Bombyx mori: one gene and its partners. The protein of the gene in region 1 interacts with the protein of each later gene in a biochemical or structural test. Links are inferred from orthologs where the notes say so. Each region holds a gene or a part of one and is shown on either strand. Other genes may lie near its edges.

Evidence for each region.
Region 2: the proteins of nuclear pore glycoprotein p62 (region 1) and probable nuclear transport factor 2 form a complex in vitro, tested with the Homo sapiens proteins (3 studies listed by BioGRID). The link is inferred for Bombyx mori from reciprocal best matches to the Homo sapiens genes NUP62 and NUTF2.
Region 3: of the proteins of nuclear pore glycoprotein p62 (region 1) and UDP-N-acetylglucosamine--peptide N-acetylglucosaminyltransferase 110 kDa subunit, one has a biochemical effect on the other in vitro, tested with the Homo sapiens proteins (2 studies listed by BioGRID). The link is inferred for Bombyx mori from reciprocal best matches to the Homo sapiens genes NUP62 and OGT.
Region 4: the proteins of nuclear pore glycoprotein p62 (region 1) and importin subunit beta-1 form a complex in vitro, tested with the Homo sapiens proteins (2 studies listed by BioGRID). The link is inferred for Bombyx mori from reciprocal best matches to the Homo sapiens genes NUP62 and KPNB1.

The regions. Positions count from the first base shown.
Region 1 is NC_085134.1:6,724,351-6,732,110, reverse strand, and holds the end of nuclear pore glycoprotein p62, read right to left. Parts: intron 6,961-7,760; coding exon 6,876-6,960; intron 6,298-6,875; coding exon 6,126-6,297; intron 5,764-6,125; coding exon 5,588-5,763; intron 4,741-5,587; coding exon 4,629-4,740; intron 3,736-4,628; coding exon 3,577-3,735; 3' UTR 2,455-3,576; downstream 1-2,454. UniProt on the Homo sapiens protein: Essential component of the nuclear pore complex. The N-terminal is probably involved in nucleocytoplasmic transport.
Region 2 is NC_085116.1:12,784,601-12,793,157, forward strand, and holds probable nuclear transport factor 2, read left to right. Parts: upstream 1-3,884; 5' UTR 3,885-4,027; intron 4,028-4,116; 5' UTR 4,117-4,142; coding exon 4,143-4,250; intron 4,251-4,685; coding exon 4,686-4,757; intron 4,758-5,330; coding exon 5,331-5,429; intron 5,430-6,740; coding exon 6,741-6,854; 3' UTR 6,855-7,415; downstream 7,416-8,557. Other genes in the region: U4/U6 small nuclear ribonucleoprotein Prp31, read right to left, coding at 52-236, 1,063-1,205, 1,540-1,744, 1,920-2,055, 2,129-2,323. UniProt on the Homo sapiens protein: Mediates the import of GDP-bound RAN from the cytoplasm into the nucleus which is essential for the function of RAN in cargo receptor-mediated nucleocytoplasmic transport.
Region 3 is NC_085129.1:5,334,316-5,342,747, forward strand, and holds the start of UDP-N-acetylglucosamine--peptide N-acetylglucosaminyltransferase 110 kDa subunit, read right to left. Parts: upstream 5,257-8,432; 5' UTR 4,912-5,256; coding exon 4,770-4,911; intron 3,935-4,769; coding exon 3,724-3,934; intron 2,248-3,723; coding exon 2,064-2,247; intron 1-2,063. Other genes in the region: protein inturned, read right to left, coding at 7,395-7,500, 7,769-7,921. UniProt on the Homo sapiens protein: Catalyzes the transfer of a single N-acetylglucosamine from UDP-GlcNAc to a serine or threonine residue in cytoplasmic and nuclear proteins resulting in their modification with a beta-linked N-acetylglucosamine (O-GlcNAc).
Region 4 is NC_085110.1:11,423,748-11,431,199, reverse strand, and holds the end of importin subunit beta-1, read right to left. Parts: intron 7,339-7,452; coding exon 7,158-7,338; intron 7,003-7,157; coding exon 6,743-7,002; intron 6,336-6,742; coding exon 6,149-6,335; intron 6,059-6,148; coding exon 4,917-6,058; intron 4,831-4,916; coding exon 4,660-4,830; intron 4,492-4,659; coding exon 4,369-4,491; intron 3,529-4,368; coding exon 3,232-3,528; downstream 1-3,231.

The DNA of each region.
Region 1 (7,760 bases):
AACTAGGGATGCCGCCACATGTTTTATGAAGGTGTGGCGTTCAAGAACGCACCTTTTTATGATGCGTAAGCCGGAACGCACGAGATGTGGGAAAAAGAATGTAGTCTGTGACACGGGACCTTTTTACCGCCAAATATTTTAAATATAAAAATAATTTATAATGTGTTTAATAACTAATGTAATATAATTACTTAGAATTGTTTATGCCGCTACAACAATAAAATTTATATTGTTTCAACTGTGGTGTTAATTATATAAAACACGACTTTACGGCGAAATAAAGCAGGGACTCTATATGAACTCCCTCAAAAGGTATCGTAACATGAATCGTAGTAAAAAAGGAGGCTGCTATTTTAACAATAGTTGAATTTTTTTGTCGGGAATAAACATAATTTAACTATTGGTTGTATGGATTGAATGTAAAAACTAAATATGTATGCAAATGGGCACTATCTCTGTTTCTGCTGCACCTGATGAACAATGTATCTTGTACGTAAGTGCTCACTTGAACCACTTTCATTTCACAAAAGATTTATGTACCACGTCCTTGCGGATCCATCAGATCCGTTAACCTTTGCATTAGACGCCTTCATCTCTAACACTAGGATTAGGCATAGGGAAATGCAACCTAACCCATGCATCAGCCCGCTGAGTTTCTCGCCGGATCTTCTCAGCGGGTCGCGATACCGATCCGGTAGTAGATTTGTTCGGGACGCAGCTGCTCTTGAGTTGTGAGGTCTCCTTCGGAGGCGTTCGGACAGCTATTAGCAAATCCCATCAATCACTCCTCGCTGAGCATTTGCTCGCCCACCTATCCTGGTGAAAGTAATCATTAAAAAAAATATATATATCGACGCTTGAAAGGCAAAAGTGACTAAGCGACAATGCGTGAACTTTACAGTAGACTAACTAACTAACTTAGTCACGTTTGCCTTTCAAGCGTCGATATGTATCTGTAAACTAAGTACTGAAATAGGTTTTCGTGTCGGGTTTTAAATAAAACAAATCTATAACGAGTGAACATCACAAATTTTTCTTTGGCGATGGGATTCGACTGTAGCTCTATGTGTCGTAATCAGTTATTTATAGAATTAGACGCAGTCATAAAGGACAATGCCCATTTTCTATGGGCGTTTGGGCCCCTAAAAAAAGTTGTCCTGTCATGATGGTTTTAACTTAATTTGATAGACAAAGAAATATCGTTTCATATTCAGAAAACGATTTTATATTCTCACCCAGGCTGAGAAATCTGTTTTTTTCTGCAGCTAAAATTAAGTTGTTAATTGTTTTCTTCGAAATCAATAATCGCTCTCATAATTATTTACAGTATTAAATAAGTTAATTGTGGTTAATGTTGCTAGAAATAAGCCCTTACGTACATTTTATTTATATCCTCATAATAATGATAAAATGAAATGAAAATCCGGAAGCCGGCAACGATATTGTTGTTTTGTTTTAAAATTCACCAATAAGCAGGCAAAGAGCGTAGCCTATACAGCCTAGTCTGTCGAAGTTATATATTTTTTATGTCAATAAAAAGCCGGTGTATCCATAGATTATACACTTAATATGGTGTATCTCTTTTTATTGCTTTTTGGGAGTTTTGACGTCAACTCGACGAATATCACATTGACTGAGCATGAGTTTACGCAGACCTTTTATACACAATATTACAAATACAAATAATACAAATTACACAATAAACTATTAAAAAACATTAAAATAAAAATTCAAGTGACGCTTCACTCGGGTTGCTGCCAACACTCTCTGATCATATATAATAAGAATAGAGTAATGGTAGGCCATTGATATTTTTACTAATGGAATCATTAATATCTAAAAATATTAAATAATTCATGGTTTTAAGTAATAATTATTATTACAATAAATATTGAATTGAACAAAAATAAACTAAGAAGCCTGTGAATTATAAGCATTAGCTAATTTTTTTTAATTTGTTGTCCAAGTTACAAACAACTCTTTCGTTTGACAGCATATAGGTTTGCTATAAGGCTGTATGGGCTAAGCCCTTTGCCTATTGGCGAATTTAAAAACTATGGCATGGATAGCTTTGAGATGTTATCAATTAAGTAATTAATTTTTTTGGAAAACAATGCCAGGTTGAAAGAAATGTTGATACATAAACTAAACAACGTGAAAAAATAAGGCATAGTTTTTCAAGTACAAATAGTTTTGACATAAAGTTGGCCCACTTTTGGGCATTGTCCTTTGTATTTCACGTTCTCTCGCAGTCATCAAAGATGCTTGGAAAATAGCTTCGGGCTTCGAGAGCGGTCCACTTCAATCGGATTTAATATTTATTTGAATCCAATCAACATTCCTAAGTCTTTGGTTTATTTGTGAGACGATAGTCAGTCTGTCAAAATGGGCCAGCAAAAATAGAGTAGAGGGAAATAAATCGATGGACTTGATAACAACAACAAAAAAACTATATAGGTACTTAATATTTTTTATTTTTATTTATTGAATCATTTTGTTGCCATAACAAAAACATTTTAACGTCTTTAATAAATGACACATTCATTTTTAAATACTATTTGAGTGTTTCATTTCTGGCCTCGTCACTGGCCAGTGTGTTGAGTGCGAGTTTTTAACATTCTCGATAGCGTAAAAGTTAACTCGAATTTGTATGCAATTGGAACAGCGCCCTTAGCGGCAAACGTAGGCAAACGTTCCAGCTCCATACAGATTTGAGCTAACTTTTACGCGATCGAGAACGTTAAAAAACTCACATTAAGCACACTAATCATCTATATAATCAAATTATGTTCGTTTGTTTGCTTGGGTAACAACATATTACGTGATTTGAATTAAAATTCTTTGAACCCATGTTACTCAATTTTCTAAAATATAATGTATAGTAATAATGCAGTTTGATCGCGAACTTGCATTTGATAGTACGAAAGACAAGGGATTCATGAAAATATTTGATTCACATTTTCATCCTCATAGTACATTTAGGTACCGTCGTAATGTGAAGTGTTTTTGGACACATAGACATGCATCATAAATAGTATAATGAGGAATGTAAATAAATTATACGTGCATTTAAATTATAATTGAATTCTACTCTAAGCATTTAAAAGTCCAACATTGTACTGTATTCGTTAGTTAATCATACATTATTCACAACTTTAAGTACTGCAACAGTAAAACTAATTTTGTATTACAAATATTCTTCTATTACAGTTTACAAACATTCTGAGTACTCGTAGGCGTGTTTAACACGTTAATTGCCTTGTAGGTCACCGGTGTCCTACGCGGCGCACTAAAGAAATTATGTCGATTTGCCTTCTTTTGTTTTTTAATGTTTTAGTATTTTTTATGAATAGGTTAATTCTCAGTATCTTCGGATTGGTCTTTCCCAGAATCTACTAGATATTCTGGCGCCTTAAGAAGATCTAAGAGAGAAATCGCCATAATTACTTCAGTGCGTCGCGTAGGGCACCGGTGACCTACATATCAGTCAACGTGTTAATTATTAACAATGACATCCAGAAACAATCGACAAAAATCACAAAACTGAACCAACCGTATACATATTATAAAAACAGATTAATTGTAAGTCAATTGAAATGATCTCTCGTTATCCTTCCTGAGCGTGTCGTGAACGCTCTTCAATTGATCCAGCTTATTGGATATCTGAGCTATGGAGTTGTCTATCCAATGCATCGACGACATGTGAGCGTTTAGTATGCGACCGATTTGGACAATCTGAAAAAGAAAAAGTTTGAGTTATTCGAGTAATTTTAATATGCATAAGTTCAATACGCATAAGTAGAGATTCAACTTCTTTTCGATATTCAAAATACCGGGTACTATTCAATCTAAAAGCTCAAAAATGTATTAACTTTTATAGTGGAATGTATTAATTTTTTTATACGCTTTTATTAGCTTCAGACGTATCTATGTAAGTATGTAACGGAATCTTTGAACATGATTTTGACCCCCTTCAAAACGTCGGATTAACTCGAATTTTGCGATACTTATTAAGGACCGATGACAACACAATATTTAAAAAAAAAGTTGAAATAATTGAAATTCCAACTTAAAAATGAAAAATAAAAATAATAGTAGTTTAAAAAAACGAAAAAATACGCTTTTATAGAAAATTCAACAAGCGTATTTTTTAGTTTTTTAAACTACTGTTTATTCTTTTACTTAGAGCAAATTTTTATGAATAACTATCTGACCCGGCAGACTTCATAGTGCCTCAATCGAGAAATAAAAGACCTAAACTTTTGTATAAAATAAACTTAAAACAAACAAAAGGAATCCGTCGGGGACACATCAAAGGAAAAACAAAATTATTCCGAGCATTTTCATATTTATCCAACCTTTTAAACCTTTTAAGCCTTCTCTGGGCTTTCACAAGGAATTCAAGACCAAAAATTAGCCAAATAGGTCCAGCTGTTCTCGAGTTTTAGCGAGACTAACGACAGCAATTCATTTTTATATATATAGATAAGTGGCCCTAAGCTACCAGCAATAAGACAGTAGCGGCTCGTAACATTTAACGTAGAAATAATAAGAAGCTTTCATAAAAAGTTCTTGAAAATCTGTTTTAAGGAAGCATAATTTCATTTTTAATCAAAACAATCACTTACTGGATCGTTGCCATCTTGACTTCTGTTTGTCTCATTGAGATGCTCTATAACTTCCTTCAAATCTTCGGACATCTGATGTAGTTGAGAATCCAAATTTTCGGCTAGTGAATACCTAGTAACGAAATGAAATAAAATTATTATTGAAGTGAAAACTTCTTTAGAATCGTTGTGATTTCAAACCGGATGCAACGGAAAAAACGACAGGTAAGAGACACAAATACAAAAATGTGTAGGATGAAGCCAGGAAAGAATGAGACAGAAATATACATACTATTTAATACAACGCCATCTGTGAGATTTCTTAATACTAATGTGTGTATGAAAGCTCTTGTAGTGAATTTTAATTTAGGATTATACGTGAAATTAAAATATCAATTCACAGAGGGCGCTACCTTACAATTATTTACTAATGACAAAATTTTACATATACTTAAGACGTTTAGGATAATTGTATTTTAATTTTGGAAGGTTTCACTTCTACCACGTGTGAATTGCACACATTTTAATTATTTTTTTTGTAGTGTGAATGCCTCAGTATACAGCTGATTTTTAAAATCTGCATCATTAGGTGTGACGTCATTTGAGGACATGATAATTTTTTTATGGCTTAGATGGGTGGACGAGCTCACGGCCCACCTGGTGTTTAGTGATTACCGGAGCCCATAGACATCTACAACGTAAATGCCGCCACCCACCTTGAGATAAGAGTTGTAAGGTCTCAGTATAGTTACAACGGCTGCCCCACCCTTCAAACCGAAACGCATTACTGCTTCACGGCAGAAATAGGCGGGGTGGTGGTACCATCCCGTGCGGACTCACAAGAGGTCCTATCACCAGTAAAACCTGATAGACGATTATTTCATTATACATAATTGTTGTTTATAATCATGATTATATAATAATATCTTTCTTCTGTAATTGAGATTCATATTTATATGCAAAAAAAAAAAAACACTAACATATGTTCTCTTTCCGGATCTTTGATACGGTCATTGTTCTCTTGCAGTAACTGTTTCTCCATCGGTCCTAATAGATCTTCCAATTCTTTTTGTTGTGCCAGTACAAAGTCTAATTCATGTTCCAGTGATTGCTGTTCGTTTTTAACGGTCTCGACTGCTTCGTTTAGTTCTACGATCTGTGGAAAAAGCATTACTTGTAAAAGAGTCATAATCCTGAATATTTTAAAGTAAAAGCAGAATATTCTCGGTTGCTTCTCTCTTATATTTGAACTAGCTGACCCAGCAGACTTCGTAGTGCCTCAATCGATAAATAAAATACTTAAACTAGTATAAAATAAACTTAAACAAAAGGAATCCATCCGACGGGGGACACATCAAAGGGAAAACAAAATTATTATCTGTGGACTTCAATAAATAATTCAAGACCAAAATTAGCCAAATCGGTCCAGCCGTTCTCGAGTTTTAGCGAGACTAACGAACAGCAATTCAATTTTATATATAATAGTATAGTATAAATATTAAAAAAATGTGATCATACCTTCTCTCCGTTCGCTATTAGTAATGTGTCCCAAGCATTAATCTGGGTAGCTTGGTTGATGAACGTCCGTTCCTGCTCTTCCAATTCTAAGGTCCATTTGTTGATATTCTCCTCTAATTGTGCAAATGTTATCGAAGTTATCGGTTGAGGTGGAACTGGTGCAGCTGCAGTACTAAAAATTTAAAATGATGCCATCATATACCCAGACAAAACTGATATTTGATACATTCCAAATTTTTTCGTTGTCTAATATGGTATGAATTCCATCTATGCTTTGCAGCAAATCTACTTAATTATCAGATGTTTTTATGTCTCAATATTGTAGCATAAGGAATCATTAGATTCATTTAAGACCAAGTCCGTTCCATTCCAAAGTGGATGTAAATAGCAGTGCCATTTTTTTTATTGCATTGAACATTGGAATGAGCTCAAGCTTCGCAGCAGAACTAAGCAGGTTGAAGGTCCTTGCCTATACAAGCTTACAATATAATCTAACACAAAATATTACTTTTGTATAAGCGCAATATGATCTGACACAAAACAGTGTGCTTAGTTCGAGGTTTTTAACTTTCTCGATAGTGTAAAAGTTAGGTCATGTTTGTATGGAGTGGGATCGTTTGCATACGTTTGTGGCTAGGGGCGCTGTTCCGACTGCATACAAAACTGGCTTAACTTTTACGCTATCGAGAACGTTAAGAAACTCTCACTAAGCACACTGTACTTTTTATAAGCTAGTGTTAATCGACTCACGTTGTTGCAGTCAAAGTGGGCATTATTGAAGTCGAAGCTGTGGTTTTTCCCAGTGCCGTTATGCCAGACGGGGTGGTAGTGGATGCTGAAATTTAACGAAATTTACAAACTTTAATAATGACATTGACAGCGATATCTGACACTGATTACAATGACATTTTAAAACGCACAAAGGTTAATAACACTTTCTTGTCAAATCTCACGCCCTAACGCCGTGCTAGCGCCATCAAAGTATCCTTGGACAATGTTTGGTGAATAAACTAGAGATTTTATGGTATTTAACTATATCATCATAGCAAAAGTGTATATACTTATATAAGTACCATATAATTAAAACGAATCTGATTTCGAAAGAACATAACTAATATTTTCAGATTATTCAGTGCAAGTAAGGTAATAATTGATCAGAACCCGATAAGAAATGAGAATATCGACATATTCTTAGCAAACGGGCAGGTACCACCACCCTGCTTATTTCTGCTGTGAAGCAGTAATGCGTTTCGGTTTGAAGGGTGGGGCAGCCGTTGTAACTGTACTGAGACTTTAGAACTCATATCTCAAGGTAGCGGCATTTACGTTGTAGATATCTATGGGGTCCAGTAACCACTTAAAAGCAGGTGGGCTGTGAGCTCGTCCACCAAACTAAGCAATAAAAAAAATAAGAAGGGGAAAATGTTATCAATTGGCTAAAAGAGTTAGGGAAGACCATGGCATCCACTGGTATTGTATTGGTAGCACGCAATATATTAGAAAAAAATGACGATTTGAAAGGTTATTGTAATTTCTACCTCCATTTATACGTTTCCTTTAAATAAAAATAATTTATCAAGAAACTGAAATCTCCGAAAAAAGATCTTCACAAAAGTTACCCAAGAACTTGTGGAA
Region 2 (8,557 bases), on another chromosome or scaffold:
TTAAAAAAATATGTTTTCATATTATATTATCATCATATTCAAATTACTCACAGGTGTTGTATCTTGTACAATTTGTGAAAAATAAATGAACCCAGTATGAGGTAGAGCTGTTGCTTGCGAGAAGCCTGACAGTGTCTTCTTCTGTTGCCCGAGAGGTAACACATTACACGCTGGCATCTTTGATAATTTAGACAATCCACCGGCCACACCAAGGATTTTTGCTGCTGTTGATGCTCCTGAAATACATAGTTTTGATAGAAATTCGCAGGTGGTACAACATATTGTAAGCCCGCATGGGTAGTTTTCATTGTCTTTGGATATTTGTGCCATGAAGCAGTTAAGTTCTGGCTTGGATGGTGTGATGGGTTATAAAATATAACTAAGAGCTTGTGGTGCCATTGTGCTTACTATGGGCTTCGATAACCACTTATCACCAGGATAATTCTGAACTCATTCACACATACCCTTCAATTAGAAAAAGTATTCATTTAATATGCTCACATTCATTTAAGAAATATTCTATTGTAGTTGATTAACAACTACCAATATATCAATATGGTTAAATATTTTGTCGCGAGGGGGATTAGTTAAATTATTTTAATGTCTAGACCATTGGAGGGTGGCTTGTTAAACGTAGAACCCGAGCACTCTCAACAAATTTTTGGATATAGTTTTAGTATAAATAAGGCCATCCAATGATGGACAAGAACAGAGTGCAAACTACCAGACAGGTCAGACCTCCTGAGCATTGTAAAAAGGGAATAAATTGCTACAGAAAAAACATCTCGTTCTAACAACAGATCGTTTCTCTACTTTGCCAAGCAAATGTTATTTTAAAAGGGTTACAATTTAGAGTTCTGATGCACTTACAATCTGCCAGGCTCAAAAAATGCAGAAAGAGGCATTTGGTCCTTCTAATACTCTGCTATTTTGGAAATTATATGATGAGGGGAATAATTGCAGTTGGCTAAGGGTGATTGCACAATTGTTACCACTAATCGTTTTGGGAGTGTTAAATAGAATTTATATTAGTAATTATAGGCAACAGAATGTATCACTTACCAACAATGGCAGTTATGTTTGGTGCAATAAAAGTCATTCTACTTTCAACATACTCATATATTTGCGATTTGAAATTGTTCAGCTCACTTGCCATATCACAGGCCTCATTGATTTCTTCTAGTTCAATTTGGCTTAGTAATTTCCTGTCAAATGATTGAGTTGTTTAATAAGTAACTATTTTACACAAAATGTTCATCAAAATAAATCTTCAAAGTCCCTGTTTTGTACTCTAGTCCACTATAATAATTTAAATGAATTTGAAATGTTGCATTTCTACATTTTTATTTACATTTATTCTTTCTTCTTCCTAGTCGTACAGTCTTAACAGAGTGGTTGTGGTCATGTATCAGTCGAATTCTGCGATACCAATGCTCTCGCGTTGCAATGACATGTGGCACGATGTTTCTCAGAGTGAGTGCATTGATTTATATTAGCAAACAAAATAGACCACAAATAGAAAACAAATAAGAAGCTAACCCTTGAGTTGTAGATGCAGTAACAGAAACAATCATAATAGTGGCCTGAGTAAGAAAACTCTGTAATATTTCATTATTCTTAGCCCTGTCCAAATCATTGCCAAGTTCTTTCACTGTCCTTATGTATTCCAATGGAGTGATGATTAGAGATTCCAATTCAGGAAACCGTTTCTGATATTTGTCACGGACAAATCTGTGAATAATAGCTGAAAATTTGCATTTCTTGACTTTAATATTGTAAGCAGTAATAATTAGACAACCAAGATAATAATTTCATGAAAAGAGAACTATTAACACTACGTTCAATCATAAAAGTTCAATTCTCTGAAACTGTTTTAATAAACAAATCAACACATGAAAAATGGAGATTGGAATGCATACCTATTTCACCATCAATTTCAACAGCAACATTATTTGCTTCCACAATCAGTTGATACTCAGGGTCAGACTCCATTAAGCCAGCAACTTCAACCTTATTTCTGTTATTTCCAGCATTACATTCTATTTCACTCATAACCTAAAAGTTGTTTACATGAAAAATTGTAATTTATATTTAAACTGTTCTTCAAGAAACTTTATTAAATACATACACGTTTCAGACGATCAGAATATCTTAGTTTCGCGAGTTCTCTTATCGAGACATTCTTGATTTCTTCTTCTTTAGGTAAGACGGGATATGGAACTGCAAAGTCGTATTCTTCTTTGGTTTTGCTCTCGATAGCAGCTTCGAGTTCACCATCGTCATTTTCTTCTAAATCAGCAAGTAATTCGTCAGCTAGAGACATGCTTCTGTAGAACTAAATTGATTTTCTGAGTGTTAAGTTTATGTGTGAGCTTGTTCTGTTTCTATTGTATTCTGTAATATTCTACAATTATTACAGTTTTTTACTCAAATCGACTTTCACAGCTATACAGTATATTTCATTTAGTATACATTATAGATATTAATTTGATTTTTTAGTCAGCGATGTCATTAAACTTCAATAGTTTGTACCCAAAACTAAATGATTTACCTACCTATGTACCTACGGCGACTAATATTTGCAATAGTTAATTTGAAAAGTAAACAGAAATGACAGTGACAGTACGGTACTTGACAGTAGTAAGTAGTACCGTACCTACCTAGTATGTAGTAATTCCATTTTTCCAAGTATAAAGACGAAGGTATCATACGATATGTTTATTCATAAATTATAGATTCTCTTTCATGGAAATGATATGAAGCTAAATGAATTTAAGTTGATTAACTGGAGATATTCATTAATAGAGATGAAATTAAATGAAATAAGATGAGATGATATGGGATAAAATATAATCTCAGTAAAATAGTGGTTAGATATTTATTAAGACTTTTCAGTGAACTTTTCAGTAGATCCCGAGAAGCTGCGCCCAGCAGTTTTATTTCATTTTCCCACATTTGTGCATATTCATAAATACTAAATAGTTCATAATTAACCACCGTTATTACACATTTAAACCTAAAGAAATACTAAATAGACAAATTAAAACAATTCACACAACTTCGCTCTTCGCGTTCCCGCCAAAAGGTCTCACAGGACGGTGACTTTTGATTGTTTTTTACAATTTAAAAAATACTGAAAGCTGTAATGAAATAGTCTTGGTTTTTTTTTTAAGAATTGAATCAAATTTATGAAGATTTGGAGAAATCGCAACATAAACAAAAAACTAAGATAAAGCTCATGAGAACCCTTATCTTCTCCATACTCTCGTACGCTTCTGAGACGTGGACCCTCAAGGCCCGTATCCGATTGAAAATTGACGCATTTGAAATGTGATGTTGGCGCAAAATGTTGGTCGTATCATGGACGGAGCGCCGAACAAATGTATCAATTCTCTCGGAGCTAAACGTCAAGACCTGTCTATCTACGATCTGTATGCAGCATCTCCTCAAGTACTTCGGACACGTGACCTGACGAAATCTTGACAAATTGGAAAAAATAATAATTGTAGGTCACGTGGAAGGAAAGAGAGCTCGAGGAAGATTGCCAACCAGATGGACGGACATTGCCAAGGAAGCCACAAACACCAGCGTTCCGGGTGCCATTCAGCAGGCCAAATGCAGGCAGCATTGTAGGAAACTAGTGCAATTAGACCAAGGTGGTCACGACTCATGATCCACAGTAATGAGGAAGCGACGAAGAAGAAGAAATGTACTTTTAATCTGAAGAATTACGTGGATCAAGTTTGACTTATTTTCTAATAACAATTGAAAAATATATTACAGGATTTTCCTAAAAAGTACGTCAGAGCATTAGATTTTAATACTTTTAATCCATAATAGTGGAAACAGCTCAGCTTTAGTAGAAAATAGTAGTGTTGTATGATCTTATACCTCTTAGACACTACATTCAGAATCATTAAAAAAAAATATGTCATAACTGTCAACAAGCAGAATAAATTTTCAAGCCCCTTTTCGTCAGTTCGTCACATCTTGAATTTTTCGGCTGGAATTGGGCTTTTTGTTGGTGGTGTGTAGACGCCTAATATTTAAATAAAGTTAAGTGAACACCTTCCTATTCAATTTTTTAGTATATTCAAAGATATCAATCTTTTACAGTGACAAATAGACACATCTTAATCTAAATGGCGCTCAATCCGCAGTACGATGCAATCGGTAAAGGTTTTGTGCAACAATATTACACATTGTTCGATGATCCGGCTCAACGGGCAAATCTTGTTAATATGTACAATGTGAGTATTATTACTGTACCGTTATTTTTATTATATTATGGTTATCTTCCCTTCTCTCACATTTTGAAAATAGTATTTTACAATTTAAATTTTGTTTAGAGGTTAACGTCTGGTTTTACCGACTGCGAAACTCGGCTTCTCATATAAAGCAATTACGTAGAATTTAGACTGAAGAAACGATACAAAGCCTCTATTTTAAGTGTAATTTAAATATGTCCTTTTTAGAATTGTGTTACCATGTGTTAGTACAATTTTATTCTAGATCTTTTAAGTGATGTATTTGTTGATGCCCACTAGGGTGAAAAATTGGTGTCAACTGGACATTGCGATAAATTTTACTTTATACCCCTTTTTTAACAATGTTGTATAAACATTTAAACATAGTTGTTTCAGGACTATTGCTTGTTAAGTTATTAATAATGACTTGTCTTGCAGGTTGAAACTTCATTCATGACCTTTGAGGGAGTACAACTGCAGGGTGCTGTTAAAATTATGGAAAAATTAAATGTGAGTAAATAAGAATTTTACCAATTTTGAAGATATTACACTAAAAATCTTCTCTAACACAATCAAAAGTACAGTTATGTATTTAGGAACAGTGCTTATATTTACAGGTTTTGTTTAGTTGTTATTTAACTGAATTTTTTTTTGTATACACTAAAATTTTCATTCTGGTTTCCTCAGTAGTTCTTTGTATAACTTTTTTTATACCTACTTTGTAACATTTTTTTCCTACATATATACATAATTTGTGCTTGTAACAATAATAGTGTAGTTATTGTTATTATGTTATATCTCTGTGTTAAGGCCATCCTGGTCGTAATAGTGGAGTCTATAGGCATTACAGATTTAATGTTACCACCTTTATTGTTGAGACATGAGATCAAAGTCTGTACTGTATCTAACTGTATCTGATAAAATTACTGCTACTAAGAAGCTATATAATCCATGTTGCTGTTTTTGACCAGAAGGCATCTATTGTGGTAGAGCAGCAAAGGTAGAATTGTGGAAAAATTGTCGTTAGGTCTATCACTTTAGAAATAACCTTATTTTTAATAAAAATGAAAATTAATATTACAGAGTTTGACTTTTCAAAAAATCACTAGAATAGTAACTGCTGTGGATTCCCAGCCAATGTTTGATGGAGGCGTTTTAATTAATGTCCTTGGAAGATTGAAGGTAAATAGTAAATATAAATCACCATTTAACTTTATGTGTTTAATTAAAAATATAATTGCTTTATTTACCTAAACAGGTGAATCACATAATATAAAGTAAAAGTTGTTTATAGTAAATACTATAAATTAATTTTATCATTTAATATCATCTTTATTTAAAAAAATTTTTATTTACGTCATTTGAAATACAGTATATTTTTGTGGTAATGTATATATAAGGTGTTTTTTGTCTACCTTTGAATATTTTTCTAACTGCTAGCTTTCTCTAAAATATTTCTTGACAGTGATGTCTTTTCACACACAAACAACTATCTTAAGCTCTGGCAGTTTGTTTGACTTGGGTTTTCGTAGTCACGAGAATCCTAAGTGTTAATTAAGAGCCAATCATTTTCTCTGTAAAATTAAGGTATTTTAAATTTTATTTTCATGACCTCATATACTATATGTGTAACTAGCTTTCTTTGGTCAGTATTTAGATTCAAATTTAACTGAATGGTTAATAGAGCTGTCTAGCCCATGTTAATAAACTGCGAGCTTGTGTATTCAATAACTCTTAATGTCTACAATGTGCTCATTAACTGTAACCTATAAATCTATATCTGAGAGTGCACATTTAAAATCCTGTTTATAAATACCTGGATCCTGCAAAGTAAAACTGCATTTTAGTCTTGTAGTAGTACTAGTAGTTTTCTTTACGCACACCAAAATATATTGCCAATACTTTCTCTAACTTCTTTGATGTAAGGCAAAAACCTTGGAGCCCGTTCTACTGGCTGGTTTCCTTATGAATGAAAGATTCCTTTGTAGCGCTATATTTTAAAGTTATTTAATATGAATCCTTACAACAATTATTTAGAGATGCCAGGCTGAGTGTTGGGTTGGTAAAATGCCACACATTCGTTTGTATATTGCCTGGTTGAGTTTGTGTCTGTGACGAGAAAGGAGACAAATTTTTAGGAGTAGGTATGAGGTTATCAGTGTATGGGTGGATACTCAAATGTAAAGTTTTATTAAAAGGTACGAAAACGAAAAACACTTAGGAAGCGCTGCTTTATACATACCTATGTATCTGTTAATAAACTTTAATAATTATGTTATCGTTTTCTATTCAAAAAATTAAGAAGGGTTCTCATGTCATTTGGAAAGAATTTGTAATATAGCAAAGTTTCGTAAGGTTCTGTATAATCTGTAGACAACAACAACAGATCCAAAAAGTTTTCAGGGTCTAGATGCATTATTCCTTAACTGACTATACGTAAATTTTGTAATACTACAGGATTCTAATTTTAAATTGTTTATTTTTTATTTTCAGTGTGACGAAGATCCTCCACACCTATACATGCAAACGTTCGTGTTGAAGCCACTCGGAGATTCATTTTATGTTCAGCACGACATTTTCCGTTTAGGCATCCATGACATAGCTTAGATCACAAGGACAGACACAACACGAAGAAATGCTTAACTTGAAATTTGATATAACATACAACTGTTGAATCAGAATTCTTGACATTTGGTACACATTATATTTTTCTTGTATCTATTTCGTCAAAGAATTTATGAAATTGAAAGGACTAGACGATTATGAAATTATGATAATGATCGATTTAGTGATCGAACAGGGTAATCTAAAATGAGAATTTGGTTTTCATTACACAGAAAATGGAGATAAATTGTTACATGTTTGTAAACGAACAAATTATAAAAATGAAAAACCGCTTTCATTATTGTTACCCTTGGAGATAATGCGATTTTGGGTTACGCCATTCTTCGAGTTGTCAATTATACTTTTAAATATCAATAACATACAAACACTAGTTTCATCATGCTTCTCAAGTCTGTTTGGTTATCTAGGTATATAAGTGCTATCAAAAATTGTGAATAGCTGTTACTAAATTTGGCATCTTTTTGTGCTTTATTTAACGTTGCTACGAGAACTCTTTGCATTATATGTAAACATTTTATAACAAATACATTATAATTTTCTACACGGTCTTGTTTATAATAAATTTTTTCCTACCTATTCTAGTAACCACGAGGGGTTATTCTAGATTCGCCGAATTAGTAAGTGAGTTCACGGGGCTCAAACCTGATGACGTTGCTAACACAAACCCTAGCAAGAGCCGCGCTTCGCAGAATCTACCACCGGATCGGAAACGCGACCCACTGAGAAGATCCGGCGAAGAAACTTAGTGGGCTGTCTGTGGGTTAACTCGCCGGTTACTCGCCGAGCCTTTCGTGGCAAGCGACGGGTTCGACGAGAATGTTGGTCGGTGCTTGGGATACCTAGAAGCACCGTTAGTGGATCGGGAGGATCCGAAATGACGTTGTTTAGACACCTTTAATACAATTTCACGTGCCCTGCTGTTACGGTTGAAAAGTAGTAGTCTTAATATTATTAAGACTAACAATCATTAAGTTAATGTGTTCTGCGGGTTTCGGGCGATGCCATCACTTGTCTCCAAACCCTTCTATTTTAAGGATGGCATACATGTGATGTTCGATCTTCTGTAACCACATAGCACTAGGCTTAGGTGTTGACAAGCTGGTTTTTCCATCCCAGCTATAAAAGAGCAGATTTTTACAATATAATCTCATGTCAACATTATCTAATCATCGATGCTAAGCTTAATTCTACGAAACTGTTCTCTTTCTCCCGGTTAATCTGTGATATAACATTATTTCCAAGAACACTTTGTCGAAACCCTGAAGAAATATACACCCCAAAAAAAAAAGCTCTTTCCTTACCGGTTAAAGATTATCTCGACTGCAATGCGTTTGTGGATATTTCATCGGATTTAGTTGAGCTTTATTATAATGTTCTTGAGACTTCAGTGTAAGTTAGTCTCAGTAGTACTTAACATTGTTGGCCACTTTTTTGCCTTACTTTGCTAGTTACCTCGAAGCGTTATGCGAGCTTCACCCAAAGTGTAGGTAAGCTCACAGGGCTCAGTCTGAAGACATTGCTAACACTAGCCCTAGCAAGAGCAGTGCTTCGTTGAATTTACCACCGGATGTTATTGCTTTTGGCCACAGTACAGTGTATCAAGAAAAAAAAAAACGAAAATAGATGCTAAGACAATCAATATATTATAAATAGTCAAAAAAAAAAATAACAAAAAGAACCACTGA
Region 3 (8,432 bases), on another chromosome or scaffold:
TTTCCGATCCGGTGGTAGATTCTGCGAAGCACTGCTCTTGCTAGGGCCAGTGTTAGCAACACTCCGATTTGAGCCACGTGAGCTCACCTACACGTTAGGCCGAAGTTGAAATAGCCACTCGAGGCTATCAGTAAAGGTAGGAAAAAAAAACAAATCGATCTAATGTTTGTTGATAGATGGCAGCATTCAAATCCGTTTGCTCCGTTAACCATCAAACACACTCATTCGGCTACGCTGTCATAGCCCTCTCAGCTTAGGTAGGAAAAAAAACCGAACACAGGATAGGCCATGACCATTCTGCCAAATTGGGAAGATAAAAAAAATTATGGTGACGTTTGAAGTTTGGGACCGTTGTAAAATACAATTAAAACAGAAATTACATCGACCGCCTTGAATTACTAAACATAGAAAATCATATTATTTTATATTTTATTTTTTCACTTTAGTACGTTGACTCTGGTGCATAAAACAATGAGAGACTGATATTGCATTTAATATTAAGTTTTGGCAATACAATATAATTAAGTAAGTAAAATAAAATCAAAGTAAAGTAGAATCTCGCCTATTAAATGCTTTTATTGAAGATTACAATTTGTTGTTAACATATCAACATTTTTTTGTAATTATCCTAATATGTTACTCAAACAAGCGCTTGTGAATATACGTCACGTTATATTCTAATTTCCATAAGAACGTTGATACGAACTATATTGACATTAAAAGTGAGTGAGTATTGACATTCGCACTGGGGTGAGGAAGTAAGAAAATTTAGTACGAATTTAACGTGTTTTTTAAACTATCCATTTATAATAGAAGCCAGGTGAGGATATGTCAATTGAAAAGTACCATCGAGTTCAAAATCTATTCTCAAAAACCGGCTTCGTAAAAACATGGTAATAATAGTAACGTAGCAGGCATTGAATGCATTGCAGGGGTAGCTGATTCACTGGGGATCAACACTCAGGTATATTTCCAACCAATCGTTTTCTTTTTAACAGCGGATGTGAATGTATATTCCTACGTAGTTAAGTCAATTAATACATCGCTGCAAACTTTTTTCTTGAGCTTTTAATCAACGTTTCATTTATAAACTGTCTACATTTTCTTGAATAAAGTGGTTGTCTTACAAGAATATTCAGGAAAAATTACTTGTCCCTTATTGACCCTTTGCAATTTTATTATTGTTTTTAATTTATTCTTATCAGTGTGCAATACGCGTTATATTCTACAGTTAAATAATGCTCGTATCTTATTCCTATGAATCAACGAATACTAGTTGTCGAATACTAAAGGTCTACACGTAAATATATCCAAAATAATATAAAATTTAAATTATATTTACAAAAAGGCTTACTCGCCTTTTTAGAATCTTACGAATTACGGTTTAAAATTACCACTGCCTGCTGGATACATAATACAATACAAATGCTTAGATTAAGCTAAACTAGAGCATACTCCTTTCACTTCGAAGCAAACAATACGCGTTGTGTGTTTCACTTATTTAATTTCATTCAAAAATACTTTGTCTTATTTGAAATTGAATAGTTCATGTCACAATGGTAGACGATCGATATGACGAGATATCCAATGAGCTGCAACCACATAATTACCGATGTTAACAAAAAAATCGTATGAAATTTTCCAAGCCATCAGGAAAACAAATAACAAATGATTCATTTGACATTATGTATAGCTCATGTTATCAATATATATAAAAATGAATTGCTGTTCGTTAGTCTCGCTAAAACTCGAGAACGGCTGGACCGATTTGGCTAATTTTGGTCTTGAATTATTTGTGGAAGTCCAGAGATGGTTTAAAAGGTAGATAATTAAGAAAATGGTCGTAATTTTCCCTTTGATGTGTCCCCCGTCGGTCGGATTACTTTAGTTTGTTTTAAATTTATTTTATACAAAAGTTTAGGTCTTTTATTTATTGATTGCGGCACTACGAAGTCTGCCGGGTCAGATAGTAAGAAATAAAATTAATATCAGCATGTGCCCGCCCACATGGAAAACAAATAATACTGATTAGAATCATCCCTTAAAAACTTTTACATACTCACAGGGTTATACTGCAGTGCGGTAACGTAAGCCTGCACAGCTTGCTCCATATCGCCGGCGGCAACGAGAGCCGCAGCCAAGTTGATGTATCCATCGATGAAGTCCGGCTTCAAACGGACAGCGTGACGATAGTTCTCCAGCGCCTCCTGAAGCTGCCCGCGTTCTTTGTAAACATTGCCCAAGTTGCTGCACGAAAAATTAAAGACAAATTATGATCATTACAAACAGGCTAGTGATCCTCGTGTATGCACCATAGGATCCTGTTTCGATTAATTATCGGAGTCAGTGTGATTATTAAATATGTTAGGTATTGGAATACTAGATATACCACAACCCGAAATGATGATCACGACCTCTCTACTAAGAGTGCAAATGATTGAGAAAATAATACCCTGAGACTATTGAATATTAAATTTAAGTTATACAGTTCAACATTATTCAGCATGTGTTGTAGTTTGAATTGATTATGAGCCGGGTGTCTGATTTTATAAACAATTCTGTTTTAAAATATATGAATGTTCTTGAATGTACTTATGACAAAAACTTGTTAGTTAAAAAGCATGATGAGGTAGCTTAAAAAAAAAGAAGACACCATTTTAACCCAAATACATTGTTCATTTAAAAATCTCCTAATTTTCAGTAGTTTTAAAACAATAGACAATTTTAATTTATAATAACATTGACACAGAAGATCTAGAAATTATTACTAGGTAGTAGGTACTAGGTACCTTACAGTATTACAAAATGTTTTAGATTTTTCATTTGTGAATTAGTGAATTATTTTCTCAGCCTTATACGTCTTGATTATGAAAACAGGAGATTAAACCGTACCAGTAGTTTTAATAATTATTGTAAAAATTGAAACATGTTTCCACATAGAAAATGAGTTATTTTTGTTAATCAACTAATTAGATTTATTGCAGTGAATGTTAATGATTTAAGCAATTAATTAATCAAGGTCATACACCACATTTGTCCTAAATAAGTAGTTGCTCCAAATTTTTAATGTGCTGTTTGTGCCAAATTTACTTTATTTTGACAAAAAAGTATTCAAAATACTAAATATTTTTAGCGAAAACTGTCCGTAAACTTTCTTATAACAAAAAATGTATGTATTGTATGTATCCTTAATAAGCAATACATAATTTTTGTATTAACCAAATGAAATAAACTACATCATGCGCACATCGCTGGATTTAACTTATTTTATTGTATAAATCTTTATTGTATAAACGATTTTTATTATTAGCACTTTCATTTAGTCCATTTTTATTATTAATAAAATGTTAAGGTAAAAGTGAAGTGAAATGAAGCAAATTAGAAATTCAATATTTCCAACTTGTATTTAATTTAAACTTTCTATACATTACAATATCATATATGTTATAGTTAAAGTATGATCTAAATAACTTTCACAGCCAGACAGAGACACGTGTCTTGTCTCTCAAAGCTGTCATTACAATACACTGCAAACAGTTATTTTTATAAACTATTTTATAAATTATAGGAATGGTCACAAATCACTTGGACTTGTTCCAAATTGATTCTCGAAATACAGAACAACTGATTATACAGTAATAAAGGTTTCATTTTTTTAAGAATTCAAGACAAACCTTTAAATTATAGGAGAAATACATAAAAGTATATAGTGCTCTTCCTCACCTGTAGGCTTCAGCCAACAAAGGATTCTGTTTGATCGCCAATGTGGAAAAATGAGCAGACTTGTCCAGTCTCCGACACTGGAAATGTATAGACGAGAGTAGGAGTAGCACCCCTGTGTTTGTACTGTCCTGGCGCCATAACTGCATACAGTGATGTTCTGCACTTTCATAATCACCAGCTTGATATTCTCGATGTGCTAATTCAAGTAAGCCTAAGGCAAAATTAAAAGTAAATAAATACCCAGTATAAGAGATCTTATTATCAATTGTTTGTGGGTTTGGCAAGTAACTATTTCCCATCAATGTAGAAGAAGTGATTTAGTGTTTTATTTGTTTCTATAATTCAGTGGCTTCATTACCTCTCTGAAAGCATTTAGGCTAAAATAATAGTTTTACATTACATATATTGAACAGGACAATACAGTTATTGTAGGAAGTAATTGAAACCTACATTGATGAAAGGAAAGCAAACAGCTATTCAATTTATATAGAGATTTAGAAAATACAATCCAAAAAGTTTATTTTTATCTAAATTTTGGAGTCTTACTCTACCTATCTACTGCTCAAAATATACTAAGATTTCAATAAACTAATCTCAATGAGGGCAACAAAGCCTTTTAATGAAACAAAGAGGCAGAGGTAAATTCATGTAACTAAACATGTCAAATCATCCCAGATACTTCATTAGACAAAGGATTCTTCTACAAGTTTATAATAGGCAGCAATTTAATCACCAAAAAAGCAATGAGAACCTAAAATATTTCTGGTCATTTTAGTCATTGATGAATAGCGCGTCGGGCTTTTTTCAAAGGATTTCACTTAAATCTTAGAAACATAAATTAATATTATAAATACGTGAGTAATCCGAATCAGTAAATGAATGCATCGCTATTTTAAACAAGACGTGTACAAAAAATTCCAAGAGACATTACTCTAACATGACATACCATACTATGTAGGCACCAATTTGCAAATTTTGCAAATTTCCAGACAAAATGTAATACTTAATATTAACTAATTCAATATTAAACCTTTCCAGAGACTTACCCACAGTAGATATTTGTTGTAAGTCCGACATTTTCAATATCACAGCATTTGCAGGCACACCGACGATTTGCTGAGCTTGGGGTTGCGTCGTGACAGACTGTGGCACTGCTACATTTGCTTGCGGTTGCATTTTTGTTATCATCGTTCAATTTGAAGACTGATCACAGGCACACATATAAATCACTAAACATTTGTAAGTAATAAATAGTTACTGATTTTAATCTCCATGTATAATCTAGCTAAATTTACTTCATAAGTGCAAACTGCAAATCCCAACGACGCGACGGATAGCGGAAACATCCTATAACTTTTTAATTGTCGAATTGTCAATATGATGTCAATAATGGAACAAACATACTACTATAGTCTTTATGGCATTGAGATACGAATAAAATTGGATAAATGATTTAAGCGGATGCTCAGTTTCTTCAGATTTTTTTAGTACGGCAATCGTCGTAGTGCATGTTTTTTTCAATGGCAAAAATAATAGTAATGCCACGCCAAGTCCTTGTTATAGACACTCATACAAAGTGATGTCAACTTTAAAAAAATCCCATTTACTTCAAAAAATGTAAACTAGAAGCTGACATTAATGGCATGCAAGATTCTTATCTAACTGTTTACTTAAATTGCTTCAATATTTTCTGATCCTCAATTAAATAATGTGTATGGAGCAAAACTATCGTAGTTAAATATTGAAACCGGCATGTTAGAAACCAAAAAATCATTATTTTAGACTTATTTTTTATCAATGTATTTGAATTAGACTTACCATACTATTTAAACCTCGGTGTTTTTTAACGGTAAATGCATCATTCAGAACTTTTCAGAGACAAATTATCACGATTATGAACAATTAATGCCAGCGATTAGTTATACAACATGAATTGTCTACCTACTGCCAGTGGATAAATAATTCTTCTAACCTCTATAATTCAGTACTGTTGTTCACAATTATTCATGGTAGTAAAATTCTCAAATTGCAATTTTTTAAGTTATACTTCTTTAGGCGCGTTATGAAAAATTGATGAGAGTGAAATTTTATTATGCGCGCGCACCGTGACACAATATTAACAGAAATGAAGTTGCCCGCTAAATCGCTCATTACAATACGACCGACGTAACTTGGCGAGTCTGAATATAGCCGCAGGTGAACTTTAGCGCATGTACACTCGTAAAAAAAGTGTTATTAGCATTCATTTTTTAGTAATATAAATGACAAAAGTATTATTATCATACTAAATATTATTAAATTATTAACGTTAAATATTTATTATTAATTATTCATCTTTAAAAAAAAATTAATAAAAATAAAGTATAGCTTCTTACGCGCGTACATAAGTACACGCACCCTTTTCTTTTTAGTGCATTATCATCTTTATTACACCGTCTTTTCCCTATATCATTAAGACTATTAACTGGGGTATGTTAGATTAGGTACTTTTACAAAACTAAATTAGCTAAATTAAACAAAAAATAGTTTTCTAGTAATAGTAATAGCAGTAATAATAATAGTTAATTTGATTTCTTTTATTGCCTATATGGGTGAACAAGTTTACGGCCCACCTAGTATTCAGCAGTTACTTGAACTTATAGACATAAAAAACGTAAAAGCCGCCATGCACCTTTATATGCGAGTTGTAGTCTGAGTTCTATACAACAACCACTGTCCTACTTTTCAAAATAGAACTTATTGAGACCTCGAGGTAAAAATAATTAAATAATTAATTTATTCTATCGTCTACCAGTGACTGTCATAGACACCTTAATCACATTACTTAAATCTTTTATCCTCAATCTATGGAGGCTAGAGGTAAGGAGAATCATCTTATATGGGAGAAGCTTGAAAAAGTGTCCCACTTTCAGTACTAGATAACAGTTCAAAAATGCTCCAAAATGGCGCTAGCATAGGCACCAGGTATGATATGAATTGAGCAGTTGTTAACTGATTGAAGTGTGCTGAGTTAGGAAATTTAATATATTTAATGACTAGAGTAGTTAGTGACAGTGTAATATACAAGACCTCACATGTTTACATAGTCCAAACTAATTTCGTTAATATAAGCTAAAATTATTGCTGTGGTAAAACGTGGAGACATCGATTGCATTTTTTTATCAGCTTAGATAAAATACTTTTTGTGATTTTGTAGTGCTTACAGTTCTTTCGTCTTTTTTTATTTCTCTATCTTATTCTAATAACTTTCAGCGCTTTTTTTAAAATTTACCCGGTTGCTACTGTAGCGCCACCCTTATTTAGCAGATTTTAACGGACACTTTTTCATACCAGACGATTCTCCTTACCTCTGCCCTCCATACCTCAATCTTAGGCACACAAGCGATGTATGTCTTCGCTTGGGAGACACAAACATATTTTTCGAAATGCTGGGATTGGAAGAGTTCATGGATTATGTAGCTACCAGCTGTCATTGCAGAACTGGAACTCCAACATGATCACATCACTCTATTCTGGGCACATTACTTTGAGGTTTAGTAGCTTTAAGTGGGAGACATTTTATTGACACACAATCACAACACATTTTACATCGCACATTAACTTTATTAGTAAAAAAGGAGGACGGATTCATTTCATCACTAATATGATTATTTCGTTATTCTAGACAAATTTCATTCCAAATAAGATAGCATATATCCAACTTCAGTCAGGTCTTGTGGTATTGATTCGTGGTAGCAGATATACAACTCTCTCGGTTCAGGTTCACTGAAGATACGTCTGTAAATCAAAATATGCGTTCATTTTTAAGTTCTACAAATTGAAGTTTTTTTCCTCCATTTTCACTCATAATGAAACATAAATTTTAATGTAACTTGCTGTATTGTTTGTATTCACGTAAATTGGTCGAGACGAAAATAATCGAAGCTTTTAAAAATAATGTTGTTTTTTTATTCAATAAAAAATAAGATTGCTTGTAAAAAGCTTTTATATAGTCTTTGCTGAAATAAGGCATTATTTAATACGATCTTTAAAAAGCCCCACTTACCCCACAACCCAAAATTTAAATATTTCATTGGTTTTCCTGCTGGAAGTGCATTGATTCAATACATCCTGTGGAACTTGAAATAGCATTCCATATTCTTTAACTGCAACCAGAATTTTGTTTAATGGATTCACTGGAGCGTGATTCCTTTTGAACCTGTAATTTGAAATACAGGGTGGCCCATAAGTCCTTTGATATGAAAAAAAAATTATTAAAATAAAACTAATTACATTATGAATTAAATTTTTATTTACATAAAAAGCTTAAAAAACGGGAATTATTTTTTGAAAATAACATCTCCTAAATGTAATCCGTTGCGATCACGGCACTCTTGCAAACGACGTCTAAAATTGTCGATGACTGCGCGGCACGTCACTGCTGAAATGCTTGTCATTTCTCTGCGGATGTTTTCTTTTAGGGCCTCAATTGACCGCGGGTTTGTGTCGTATACTTTAGCCTTAAGGTAGCCCCACAAAAAAAAATCCATCGGGGTCAGATCTGGACTACGTGGAGGCCAGGAAATGTCTCCTCTCTTAGAGATAACTTTGCCAGGAAAAAGTTGACGGATAACGGGCATAGCAGTGTTAGAGGTGTGAGAAGTGGCCCCATCCTGTTGAAACCACGTCCTGGCATTAAAGCCTGAAAAGTTTTGCAATTCTGGTATGAA
Region 4 (7,452 bases), on another chromosome or scaffold:
CCTGCCGATTTTCAATTATTCTATTTCATATCAAAGGAAATCCGTTAATTACATAATATGTACATTTTTTTTTTTAATTCGAGAGCGGAAGGAAATAAGTTCTCATTCACCACAAGCCCCGGTCAAACTATCGTTTATCGTTTTAAGGTATATTTTTTTAAATGTGGTAAATAATGTCTATAACTTCAATGATGTCAAAATTTTAATAAAATTTAGATCAAAATGTTATAATTGAATATGGATTGTTAATGATTAACGTTTTACTATACTTTATTAAGACAATAAATAGGTATTTACTATTTGTCGCTCACAACGAATGTTAAATGAAATAATTATAATATACCAATAGTAATAAAATTGAAGTCTTTTTTTGTTTTTTTACTTTACCATTTATTCCACACAGACCATAAAAAATTAAACCATTTAAATAGGATGTACTTAAGGTGAGTCTAGCTTAAAATTCTTTACTCCGCAATTAATGTGGGGAATTTCTAACACAGTATTTGCAGCTAAAATATTTTTAAATTTCTAGCATATTTGAGCGTTTTTAATAATATAGATTCGTAATAAAAACAGTAAGACCTAAAAGTTAAAGTTGTATAAAAATCATTCAGTATTAATGGTCCATCCAACGCTGCTGCTCTCAAATGTTTTGTGGTGAATGATAAGTTATCACAACCAATAAGGCGTCCTTCTGTCTCTAACAATGTCGAGAGAACCTTAAACATATTTTATTACACCAAATTTTTATTTCGCATACCACACATCGTCTATGCTACCAACATCAACGACGGACAACCACATACATTCCTCCTTTCATACATCTTACAAAACATATTAATAATTTATACAATTCACAATACCTTGCACATGTGCATGCCTAAAGTAACATACATCATCTTTCATACGTCAACTTCCAAAAGAACACTTTAACTCACATAAGTAAACATACCACAGCCACTGTCTGTATTTATAATACCGAATAGGAAAATGCTCTAACTTTCAAGATTATCATGGAAAGATATAGCCAGGCATACATAATTAGTTATGTGATATATGAAACGATAAGTGCATTTTTGTGTGAATACGTCATAGATACTATCAATTATTACTTAAATTTGTTTAAATATCTACGAAGTTTCGTTTTCATAAATTATTAGGACACAATAGTACTTAATAACTGCAATTTAACATTTAGCGCGTTTAACAATAAGAACATACTCTCTCATAAGACTAATATTTAACATGCTGACCGAAACGTACAAACTGACGATGTATGCACTTATCGATTTATTTACTAAATGGACTTTATAATTTGCCTGACTTCAAAAATTGATTTTACCAGCAGTATGTTGTTTCAAGCTGCGTTTCAATGCTGTGGTCGGTAATTCCAAATCTGTGAAAAACAATTGATTGAGACAAAAATATATTTATTAAATATATGTTTTTAAGGCTATGTGTCTGAAATCGTCGTGGCCTAAATGATAAGACCTCCGGTGCATTCGTATCTAGTGATGCACCGGATTCCGAATCTCTCAGGCAAGTACCAATTTTTGTAATGAAATAAGTACTTAACAAATGTTGAGATTGTCTTCCACGGTGAAGAAATAGCATCGTGTAGTAAAAAGAAAACTCGCAAAATTATAATTTGCGTCATTACTGGTAGTAGAACGTCTTATGAGTCCTCACGGGTAGGTATCACCACCCCGCCTATGTGAAGCAGTAATGCGTTTCGGTCTGAAGGGTGGGGCAGCTGTTGATACTATATACCTTATACTGAGACCTTAGAACTTGTATCTCAAGATGGGTGGCGCATTAACGTCGTAGATGTCTATGGGCTCCAGTAACCAATTAACACCAGAGGGGCTATGAGCTCGTCCACCCATCTAAGCAACATAAAAAAAAGAAATATCGCATGAATCCCACCCAATTGAAGCTAAATTTTGTCTACAACGGCGTTATTATTGGTTTATTTTACGCGAAACCTACTGGACCTATCTCGAATTTCGATGAGTTTTGATGGTTAATTGTGAAATATTTCTCTTTGTAGTCAAAGTCAGATAATTTTGAAATTTAATGCTGGCGGAACCACATGGTTGCTCAAACCATCAATTATAAAAATCCTCGGTTCCTGGCTTTTTTAATTATATGAGCGGAAGAGTTCTGGGCCTCAGATGTATAGAAACTTATGACTGTTTATGACCCATATAAGCAATAAAAAAAAACCAGGATTTTAGAGATTTGTTAGAAAAATATGATGCATTGAAAATATTATATAAGGCTTTGATGATTTTAGAATGAGAAAACCGTTTAAAGCAATATTTCGATTGAAAAAAATCTAACACCGTGAATAAAGGTTTTTACTTCAAATATTTTATTAGGTTGAATATTTAAAGTAAAACTACACGTTTGTTGTGTTCGGTTATAAAAATTTAATCTGTGATAGACCAAGTTTGATTCAGCACAAATTCGATCAATACGAAGTTCCTAAGCATACTCTCAATAAGTCATCTATATAGTTCTCGTACAAAACTCTGACGGACCCGGGGGCGTTATTATTAATTTAAAAGTTCTGATCCAATCCGCACTGGTTGGCAAGTACCACTATTCTGCCTATTTTTGTCATGAATCAAACAGACGTTTTGTTTCGTAAAGTATGATAATTACCAACCACGATTTACTCTGCACTACCTTTGGTTGATTGGTAGAGAATGCCTTTGGTATTAAGTTCGCCAATGTAAATTTTATATGAAGTGTAATAAATCTATTATACATATAAATAAAATTGGTGTGCCTGTTTGTAATATTGAAATAGCCGCTTTTTACTACATGCATAGGAAATACGGTACATAGGTACACCAAAATAACATTTTTTTTACAATTTTGTCTGTCTGTTTGTTCCGGCTAATCTCTGGAACAGCTGGACCGATTTTGACGTGACTTTCACTGATAAGTTAGCTGATGATATAAGGAGTAACTTAGGCTACTTTTTTTAGACTAGCTTCGCCTCGCGGCGTCACCCGTGGTGCGTCAATAACCGCGGGTTACATCGCGGGACTCAGCTATCAATAATAAAATTTAATGTTTCCGAAGCGAAGCGAGGGCGGGTCGCTAGTAAATAAATAATTCTAATGTCTGTGGAAGTTCGGTCTAAGTATTATTATTTTTTTCATTTATGGCCTGGTATCTAGACCTTTAGGCCATTCGGTCTAAGTATTGAAAGTGAAATAATTACCAGCTGGCAAGAGGGAGGGTCTGCTTGACGCGACGCATCTCTTTGGTCGCCCAATTGGCGAGCGTCTTGGTGCGCGCCACGCGGGAGCGCCGCGCCACCTGCAGCATGTCGGTGAGCGGCTTGGTGTCGAGCATGGGCAGCACGTGCGCCCCGAACGCGTTAGTCAAGTCGCCCATGAGCCCCGATATGACCGCCATCTGGGCGTCGGTGCGGTCCTCTTCGTTCGCAACCTGAATCATGAAGTTAACGATCGCCGGCACGTGCGGCTCGACGATAGCGATGTCCGGTCGTACCTGTTTATAAATAATAATATAAAAATGAATTGCTGTTCGTTAGTCTCGCTAAAACTCAAGAACGGCTGGACCGATTTTGCTTATTTTGGTCTTAAATTATTTGTGGAAGTCCAGAGAAGGTTTAAAAGGTAGATAAATATGAAAATGCTCGGAATTATATAAAAATAATAATTTTGTTGTTCCTTTGATGTGTCCCCCGTCGGACGGATTCCTTTTGTTTGTTTTAAATTTATTTTATACAAAAGCTTAGGTCTTTTATTTATCGATTGAGGCACTACGAAGTCTGCCGGGTCAGCTAGTAAATAATAATTTTAAGGAAGCTGTATTTAAAGTTTAAGTAAGCATATATATTATTTGTTTAATAAATTTCACCAGCCAAATTAATCGAAGAATATCAATACCAATTAATTATTTTCTTGTTATTTGTTTGTTGTACATATTTTTGTTTGCTGATTTTATGGTGAAGCACCAGGCATCTACTTATAGCCTCGGAGTGATTTATTTTTTACATAAATATTGGTGGATATTATTCTCCAAGTCAGGATCACTAATTTGACAAGGAAATTTAGCTTAGAAAATTTCTAGAACCACAATCTATGTATGGCGGCAATCCGAAAACTCCCATGTTGAATGGAAGAAAATGTTTATTTGTGATAAATTGTGTGTAGTTACAATACAACACCTTCAAAGCCAATAATAGATTTTAGTCTAGGTATCACATTATGACTTTATTTTTACAGATTAAGCAATTATCGTAGGAACATATCTACAAATATTCTACATTTCCAATGAACATAATATTATAATCTCAACAATATTCAAGAAACTATAGTAACATACCTGAGAACCTACACCTTTAAGGCCTTGAATGATTCCAGTGTATGCTTCCAGAACGCTTTCGCGGAGTTCACCCAAATATTCAACCATATCATAGTCGTTATGGTCCACTTGAGCATTACTAGCCTGCAATCATTTCATTATTAAATGTTATCAGACAGACAATATTATAAAATTCGTTAACTTGGTATCCCAATATATGTAACATGTCCTCATTTAGTACAGGATTGATTTACCCAGGACAAACTACTGCACTTTATAGCTAAGCTTTCGACCCTTTATGAACAGACATACCTGCAATAGCATTTGCATGACGACATCAAAATATTTTCCAAAATCGCTACCAATACTCAAAGCAATGTCTCCAAATACAGATAATATTTCAGGCTTCACTGATCGGTGAATTGATGGATCACCTAAATTCTCCAATAACAAAACTATTATCTCATCACAATAGGGTGCCATCTGCAAATAAAATAAATAACGAAAAAATTACAATTGCTGACAGATAATAAATTGATAATAAAGTTTGTCAAATAGATTTTACTGACCTTATTTTTCAAGGCGCGACAGATATCACCAGTCAATCCTACAGCTGCAATGCAAACTTGGTACTCCTGGTGGTTTTTAAGACCAGTATAAAGGTATTTTTTGAATGTATCCATGTATTTTAAAAACTCTTCTCCTAAGACTTCAACAAGAGTAGAAACAGCCATCAGAGCATCCTCCTGAACACTGCCTGCTTTTCCAGCATTACTTGCAAATACAGTTAACAAAGCAGTCATTATTGTGTCTGATATTTGAGGAGCATCATCAGGAGTAACTTTTTTTAGAACCGAATGCAAGGTAGCACATAATAAACTTTGGAGGTCGTTAAATTGAGAACGGTCAGCTTGACTAGAAACATGTATTTCCATTTGTAGAACTTGTTGGAGTCTCTCAAGTATAACCATAGTGGTCTTTTGGACTGTGACATAACAGTCACTGGGCGAATTTTTGACCATTTCCATTAGAGCTTCATATGCAGCTGATCTCAAATTATGTTGAGCAGCATCTTGACGATCCGTTGTTTCAAGTAATCTCTGAACGATGAAATCAAAATAATTTGACATGCAATATGTCTTTGGCTGATTAGAATCACCCCCATCCGCTGCCTCGTATGCTGCTTCTGCCAAACCGGTGAATGCCCAACAAACATTAGCTGCAACTCTAGGTTCAGCTTTTAAACCATTTACAAGACTCTCTAATAATGGTTTCAAATATGTTTCATTGATAGCAGCTTCAGGGACAATTTCACAAATTCTACCAAATGTCCAAGCAGCGGTGTCCCTTACAGCTATACTAGAATCATACATCGCTTCAATCAAAGTTGGCATGGCATTTTCCACTAATGGTTTCAGAGTGTTAGCTCCAAGACCACCAAGAATTGAACCAAATGCCATTAGAGCAGCTTCTCTGTATCGCCAATTTTCACTTTTAATGTTACAATTAATAAACGGTAACACATGCGGTACAATTTCGTCTTCACAGCAATTTGACAAAAGCATAAGACAAACAGAAGCAGCCTTTGACGGATTCCATTCCAATTCATCATCAGAATCATCTTGTTTTGTTAGTTTTTGCATCAAGACAGGTGCAAGGTATTGAAGTGCCCCTCTTGCATAGAATCGTGAAGTTCTAGTTGGAGGTCGACCTGTGAATTTGAAGTAATAATGAATTTAGAAAGTTTATACTTAGTCATTTTTTTAAACACAACAGGAGAATAGAAGTATCACTTTCATACCTGCTTCAACTGCTTCAGCTTCTTCAATTGCGAGATCTATTTCCTCATCGCTCACATTGGACCAGAATTCAATACCTTGTAATGAAATCTCATCAATATCAGATTTCATAGCCTCAAGTGTTATGGGGAATAGAGCTTGTCCCATGTAAGGTTCCATATGTTGATAATAAAGTGATAAAATTTTCACCTGAAGATAATTTTGTTTGATTAAAAACTATTTTTTAAATTAATTAATACAGTAATTGTTTAAATTTAATCATGTCAATAGCTGGTATCCCAAAAAATAAGTCTTAGCTTTGTTATTCATGTTAATATTATAAATTTATAACTGAGTAAATGTAATATTAATATAAATTGTAATTCATACACTTTCATATCTAACTAATCAATCATTAATTATGAAATTTTACATAAATGCTGTCAAGAGTACAGAAAAGGACATAAAAGGATACTATCCACAAAAAAGTAATATTCCTGAGGTATATAATTTTTTCTACTTTCATGGGAAGAAAGCTAATGTGGTAGCTAAGGTGGTATTTTATTTTAATTTTAAATATAATACTTGGATTCACATTATATATTTATAAAACTTACTAAGCATTGCAAAGCAGCAACGCTGATTCTCATGTCACTAGACTGTGTGGCTTCACAGACAACCTCCATAATAAAGTTTCTTTCATTTTCTTTTTCAAAGTTCGCTCTGGTGAATTCTAGAGAGTTGAGCAAAGCTTGAGTAGCAGCTAGTCGAACATGATTACTGGGTTCAGTTGACCTCATGCCATGTATGATGGCCGTAAGAATTTGATTACTTCTTTCTGTTAATACTTCAGCATCAATATCCTGACAAATGTAGCCTAGAAGAATAAGAAATACATCAGTATTGTTAAAGAGATTAATAGCAATTTGCCTTTAGTTATAAAGCACAATTAAAACTGTAATTTTTTTTTTGTTTATTTATATAACATAATTTGTCATAGCTCTTTTAACTATCAAATGTTCATTCAGTTACCAATAGCCTCCAAAGTCGCTTCCTTTTTGAGTTCAGTAGATTGGACATGAACAACATTTTCTACAAGAATTGGTATTAGATCATTCCATTGTCCTACTGGGAGCTCAGCTACTGCCACATACGCCACACACTGTGCTGCTGAACTTGGACGACTATTCTCTGTTCCTATAGCAGCTAATATCTAAAAAAGAAACTAGTATTAAAATTAAATATAACTTGGTTACCTACACCTGATGGAACTTATCAGATTCTCCACCTTCATTAGTTCAAGCTCTATACTATAACTATACCTGAG